Callithrix jacchus: one gene and its partner. The protein of the gene in region 1 purifies or fractionates together with the protein of each later gene. This does not show direct contact. Links are inferred from orthologs where the notes say so. Each region holds a gene or a part of one and is shown on either strand. Other genes may lie near its edges.

The links.
Region 2: the proteins of GPC1 (region 1) and HADHB purify together in Homo sapiens (co-immunoprecipitation; 3 studies listed by BioGRID and IntAct, counting the BioPlex papers as one, with this or other methods). This does not show direct contact. The link is inferred for Callithrix jacchus from reciprocal best matches to the Homo sapiens genes GPC1 and HADHB.

Annotation. Positions count from the first base shown.
Region 1 is NC_133507.1:161,741,570-161,745,069, forward strand, and holds part of GPC1 (glypican-1), read left to right. Parts: intron 1-1,855; coding exon 1,856-2,014; intron 2,015-3,500. UniProt on the Homo sapiens protein: Cell surface proteoglycan that bears heparan sulfate. Binds, via the heparan sulfate side chains, alpha-4 (V) collagen and participates in Schwann cell myelination.
Region 2 is NC_133515.1:89,130,281-89,133,780, reverse strand, and holds part of HADHB (trifunctional enzyme subunit beta, mitochondrial), read right to left. Parts: intron 994-3,500; 5' UTR 986-993; coding exon 919-985; intron 806-918; coding exon 761-805; intron 1-760. UniProt on the Homo sapiens protein: Mitochondrial trifunctional enzyme catalyzes the last three of the four reactions of the mitochondrial beta-oxidation pathway.

The sequences.
Region 1 (3,500 bases):
ATCAGGGGGAAGGGGGTTCGAGGTACAGGTGCACTTGCCAAGCTCGCTCGGTCTGCTGCATAGGAACTGAAGTCCAAGCCCCAGGGATTCCCTGGATGTGCAGCCCCTAACGAGGGCTCCCTCCCACTCAAGCCACAGCCCCCTGCATCCAGGATATTCCAGAATTCAGACGAGGAAAAGAGGACGAGAAGGGAACCCTCCAGGATAAGACCCCAACTCAAAAAGCTGGGCTGTGGTTGGGGAGGGGCTGTCCTTGCGCCTCGACCCCCCCCCTCGCTCTCCCAGGCCCCTCTGACAGCTCATCTGGGTGATGTCTCATCAGCAGGTGCAGAGGCTACCAAGGGGCCAAGCGGCAGCCACCCAAGCCCAGACTCGGGCTCTCTGTTCCCTCCTGCAGTCTCAGCCTCCTCCCTGGCTGTGTGCTTGGGGGTGTGAAAGATCAGCAGACTCAGTCTAACCCAGGCATTTGCTCTCTGGGCAGTTACCTAGGTCCCCACACCAGATGGTTTCTGGTGGGGAAGGGCTGCCTGGGCCCCAGGCTGCTCCAGGCCCCACCTGCACTAGGGCCGCAGATCCCCGGTCCCCCATCCCATGGTGCTGCCAGCTCCCCAGGACAGCCTCAGGCCAAGGGCCTCAGCCCAGCCTGACCTGCCTCTCCTCCCTGGCCTGGCGTTCCCTTCCGGCTGACCCGCAGGCAGGAGTAGAAGCGTGTAGGGCCTGCTGCATTCCAGCCAGCCTGGGCCAGGGTCCAGGACGGGATGGGACAGGCTCTCAGGCCCTAGCCCTGGCCCAAGGCAGCAGTCCTGAGGAGCGTTTCTGGAATTCCTGCTGACTCCCCCTTGGCCCTCCTGTGACCAAACGAGGCTCCTGCCTCCACCTCTCCACTGTGCCTGACCCAGGCCAGCACCAGGAGGGCCTCGGAGGTGGGGGGTGAGGCCCACAGGGGTCAGTGTGGCCTAGTGAGTGTGGGGTTCTGGGCTCAGGCAGCCAGAGCCGTGTGCCACCCATAGAGATGGGACAACAGACCTCATCTCTAAGCCCCAGGTTCCTGGCTAATCAAAGGGCAGCAGCCTCGTCACAGCGAGATGCACACCCTTTTAAATGTGCAGCTTTTCCTGATGCACACACGTGTCACCTGTGGCGGGCACCGAAGGGTCCTGAGCTGTGCGCAGCAGGGCCGAGGGTTGACTCAAAGCCTGTACCCACTCCCCACGAGGAGGTGAGGCTGCCTCTGATGGCACCATTGCCAGGTCGCTGGAGCAGAGCAGCCCAGGGCAGGCTGCAGAGGAGGGGACTCCACAAGGACACCAGGACACACAGGGTGTGCCCTGTTCCAGTGTCCCCTTCGTGGGGCCTGCCACCTGCACCAGGGCACACCTGTCCCCCCCCCACCAAACTTGTGCCTGGGGTCCTTTGGGGCTGCCGCCTCTGGCCGCCCACTGTTGGTGGGGTCAGCTGCCTTGCAGTGGGGGCGTGGTGCCTCCCAGGGCTGGTGTGGGAAGGCAGGGGGATTGGATTCCTTCCTCCCTCCCCATCCTCAGCCATGGGCCAGGGTAAGAGGGCCTGTCGGGCCTCTTAGCTCCTCCTGCCTTGCACATAGGAAGCTGGGACTGCCCACTGGGGCTGGAGGTGCCTTGGGCACGTCCGGCCCTGCAGAGGAAGCCCCACCAGTGTCAGGCGCAGGAGCTGTGGGACGCAGGCCAGGCCTTTTCCTCCCCCACACCCCACCATTTCTGCCTTCACCCAGCGCACCCCCAGGCAGGTCTGCCGTCCTTCTGCCCAGGAGAGCGTGAGGTTGCCCGCCTGGCCCCCAACTCAGTCCCAGCCCCTCCCTCACGCTGGCCTTTCCCCGCAGGTGAGCACCTGCGCATCTGCCCCCAGGGCTACACCTGCTGCACCAGTGAGATGGAAGAGAACCTGGCCAACCGCAGCCGCACCGAGCTGGAGACTTCGCTCCGGGACAGCAGCCGAGCCCTGCAGGCCATGCTCGCCACCCAGCTGCGCAGCTTCGATGGTGAGTGCATCGCAGGGTGCTGGGCGTGGGGGGACAGGCACGCTGTCAAAGCAGAGGGTGGGGGATTAGCAGGAGGAGGTGGGGGAGTTAGTGCTTTAGGGCTGGGGTGCTAGGTTGAAGCTCCAACTGGGGTGTGGGGCTGCCCTCAGGCCAGGATATGCAGGGTTTGACACCCAGCTGGGGGTGTGCACAGCCCATTACCAATGTGCATTTGGGGACAGAAGTCCTGTCCCATCAGCCCCTCAGATGCTCCTGTCCCTGGTAGATTCTCTTGAGCGCCTGCAGAGAGACAGGCCTGGGCCAAGCCTGCAGCTCCTCGAGTGCCCCAGGCTGCCGTCCCCAGGGACCAGGTGGCCTGGAGCCAGAGGACTCAGTTCAAGGGCTGAGACACTGGGACTGTGGACAGAGCTGCAGAGGGCCGGTCCTGCCCAGAGTGGCCGCCACTCAGCCCTTTATATTGGGCCAGGATTTTGGGGGCCCGGGGAGTGACCCCTCAGGCCTCACAGCCCGTCAACTGCTGTGTCAGAGCTGCATACTCAACCCTGGGCCGTGCCTCACCATGTGTCTGGGCACAGAGCATCAGGCACCTCCATGGGGACAGTGTGGGGTCGGGGGGCCCCCAGGAAGTGACCTCTGATCAGAAACACAGGAACTCAGTGGAGGAAGACAGCCTGGACTGAGGTCCTGCCCCTGTGACTGGGCGGGTCTGGGGCGGAGGCGGCCTGGGCTGAGGTCCTGCCCCTGTGACTAGGCGGGTCTGGGGCGGCCTGGGTTGAGGTCCTGCCCCTGTGACTGGGCGGGTCTGGAGCTTCCGGACACAGGCTGAGCAGACAGGAGTGGCGGAGCGCTAAGGCCGCAGGGCTTGGTGTGGCCATGAGCGACAGCGGCTGCTGCTGGGCCGAGATTTGTCTCAGTGTCTCTGCCTCTCTGGCTCCTGGACACCTGCTGTGGCCTCCCAGGCTCCAAGGAGGGTCTGCTGTCCCCAGGAGGGTCTGCCGTCCCCAGGGACCAGGAGCCCCCCAAGGCCATTTCCACAGGGCTTCAGTGGGTTCAGAAGCTCCCTCTCTGTAACTTCAATATCGACGCTCAAAGCTCAGCCCCCTCCCCCAACCCCCGTGTGGGACCCATGGGACGCTCATGGACCCTCTGGGACCCTCCCTCCTCCTACCCAGCTGGACCCAGGGAGCGAGTCCCTAGAGCCCAAATCAGGAGCCTTCCCTAGCCCTTGCGTCTGTCCCGAGTGTGGGGACCCCACTCACCTCTTCTACTCCATCCTGGGCCTCAGTTTCTCCGTACCGTCACTAAGCCCTGGCTCCAGCCCCTGCATGCCACCAGCCCTGCCCCTTCCCCCTCCTGCTAAGACCTTCCACCCCTCACCCACCCTTCCCGCCTGCTTCCTCCTGGCTCTGAGGGGGTCCATGTCCCTGCCCCACTCTGAGGCACCTCCGTGTCAGCAGCCTGCCGCCACCCTTCCTCCACTGCCTGC
Region 2 (3,500 bases), on another chromosome or scaffold:
TCAATATAGAATCTGGGCAAGGAGAAAAATGTTAAGAATTTGTTGGGGTGTTTTTAGCATCAGCCAGTGAAGATACAAACATATAGCAGATGCTGTAAAAATCTATAGTAAAGAAGCCTAACTCACTGGGTTTACTGAGGGTATAAATGACGACGTAAAATCAACACATTTCCTTACTCTTTCATTTCATATTAACTAAACAACTATCTGTTATTAACTAGTTCCCTAATCACCTTTATTTTAGGAATGGGCCCTCTTGCACCTGGGATAGGAAGATATTCTTGTTTTGTTTTGTTTTTTCTTTTTTTCCCAACAGGCATGAGTTATCAGATAGAAAGATATTCATCAATAAAGAAGCATTTCTCTAATTGCAAATTTTTTTAAAAGATAAAATTTTAAAAAGTTAACTTTTGGTTCCATAACAGGTCTCAAGAGCATTTGTATGCCATTCATATCCAGGACGGATAGCAAGAGGGTAAATAAACTGACCAGTGAGCTTTATGGAACCTCCACGACTCCAGCAGAGTCAAATCCCAGAAGGCAGCCGCCTGTCAACATCCTCAAGCCTAATCTTAAATAATGTAGTATCATTATTGATTGGTCCTATAATTTTTTAATTTGAAGGCAACAGAGATGTTCATGTTGATCATAAAAAGGGGAGAATTAGGAAATTAGTTTTGGTTTTTATTAAGAGTTTAAGAACTACAGAATCTGGAATCTAAACATAAATCAGAAATGTTTATTTTACAAATGACTGTACCTGGGGCAGCTCGCAGCTGGGAGGAACAGCTCAGAGGTCTTACGGCTGGAAGACAAAATAAACTGTTTACAAAAAGCAGTACCATTCAGTATTTGTGCAAGATGCTTATAAATCCAAAACCAATCTCTAAAAATAATTAAAAATAATAATAAACTTACAAAATCTGAGGGCCCATTTTGATGTAGTATGAAGATTTTTAAAAGCGTAAGTCAAGATGGTAGTCATTCTGGAATCTAAAAAGAGAAGAACAAAAATATATCCTGGGTTAGCTGAATAATTCGTAGCTTACATTGTAGTCTATGAACTCTGATAACCTCATTCATGGCCGCTAGAAAACATTTAGACTTAATCTAATATCAACTATTCTTCATCTAATATTATTATAATAGCAACACACTGACATGGCTTTCATATTGTACCAACCACTATTCTAAGCATTAACCATGTAATCTTCACAATGACCTGTAAAGGAGGCATGATTATTATCCAATCATGCCTTGTGAGAGCTAAGGAAATTGAGGAAGAGTAGGATTGAGTGACTTGCCCAAAGACCTACAACTAGCGAGTGTGAGTGGCAGAGCCGGAATTTTCTTTTTTTTTGTGACGGAGTTTTGCTCTTGTTGCCCAGGCTGGAGTGCAGTGGTGCAATCTCAGCTCACTGCAACCTCCACCTCTCAGGTTAAATCAATTCTCCTGCCTCAGCCTCCCAAGTAGCTGGGATTACAGGCGTGTGCCACCACACTCACCTAATTTTTTGTATTTTTAGTAGCGACAGGGTATCACCATGTTGGCCAGGCTGGTCTCAAATTCCTGACCTCAGGTGATCCACTGGTCTTGGCCTCCCAAAGGGCTGGGATTATAGGCATGAGTCACCATGCTCGGCCCAGAGCTGGAATTTGAACCCAGGGAGTCTACCTCCAGAGTCTATGCTTCTCTCCTTTGGGGTCAAAGAAGCAGAGAGACTGCTAGGCATGATCATAAAACCATTAGTGTCAGTTTCACAGTTCTGAAGATTGTACTATGATTATGTAGAAAGCTTTGTGGAATGTTTGTATTTGAAGGGAATACACACTAAATAGGGATGGTGAAGTATGCCAGCAGCTTACTCTCAACTGCTACTAAAAAAAGTTTTGTAGTACAGCACTTGCAACTTTTTTCAAAGTTGAATACTGCATTGTTTCAAAATAATAAAAAAGTAAAACACATAATAACCGTATATGTTAAAAATAAAATATATTAACCACTTCCCCCCACCCCCAAAAAAGACTAAATTTCTAATAATGAGTTTCTATAGATCACTAAGGAAAACACCAGCAGACAAGTAAGCCCAGAATATGAACAGACCATTCACAGAAAAGGAAATACAAATGTCTTTTAAATATATGAAAAGATGTTTAGTTCACTCATAAGAGGAATTCAAATTAAAACCACACATGTGTAATTATCTGTCAAAGTAACAAAGATTCAAAGGTCTGATATATACTCTGTGTAGGTAAGAGTATGTGCAAACAGATACTCTCATATACTGCTGCCAGGAGAACTGGTGCAATCCATGGGGAGTGCAATTTGGTAATTATCCATGAAAACTATAACTGCACCTAATGTTTGAACCAGCAATTCTGCTTCCATGAATTGGCTTCATGGACATTACTCACACACAGGACATGAGCTATACTGTCACTGTAATAGTCAACGATTAGAATAACCAAAAAATAGGGAAAGGGGTAAGTAAACCATGTTGCCACACCCCTGTGAAATACTATTCAGCTGTAAAAGGTAAGGAAATAATTATGTACCAATACAGAACCATTTTTAAGCTATATTATTAAGTGAAGAAAGATGCAAAATAGTCATATAGCATTCTTTCATGTTAAAAGAGGAAAAATATTATGTACATTTCCTTGTATCAGTATAAAATCCCCCTGGAAGTATAAAAAAGATGTTAAAAATAATTGTTGGCTGGAAGAAAGGGAACGGGGTAACTAGGGGACAGGGGTAGAAGACTTGTCATCACACATCTTTTGTAATTTCTCATTTTGAAGCATGTTTTAACTTAAAAAAAAAAAAAACCATAAGATTTACCAACAAAGGCTTTGGTAGCCAGCCTCCAAGGTGCCCCCACAATAATCTCTACCTCTTGGTATTCACACCCTTGTCTAGCTGCCTCCCTCTTCATATCACAGAATGTATAAACCAAAGAGTATGTCACAAGTAATGGTATGCTACTTCTTAGATAGGCTATACGAGATACTGCAGCACCTATTGTGGTCTCTCTCTTAGCTCACTTACTATAGTGGAAGCCAGCTGGTATGTCAATGAGCAGCCTTATGAAGAGGCTCCCGTGGTGAGGAACTGACGCCTCTTGCCAACAGCCATGTGAGTGAGCTTGGAAGCAGAGCCTCTAGCGCAGGCAAGCTTTCAGCTGACTCTACCCCTTACCAACATTCTGACTGCCATGGGAAACTCTAAATCAGAATAACCCAGCTAAGGTGCCCTTGATTCCTGACCCTCAGAAACTATGAGATGGTAAACATGTACTGTTTTACACTGCTAAATTTGGCAGTAATTGGCTACACATAAATAGATTAATACAAAAGCTTTAAGGTTTAACTTCTCTTGGGTCTTTAGAGACTCAAAGGATGCCCTATAGCTTCCAAAATGAAAAAAACAAATCACATGTTCCAAACATGTGGATTGGAATGAGATGGAGAAACCCAAGCTTTAGGATCACCAGCCTAGG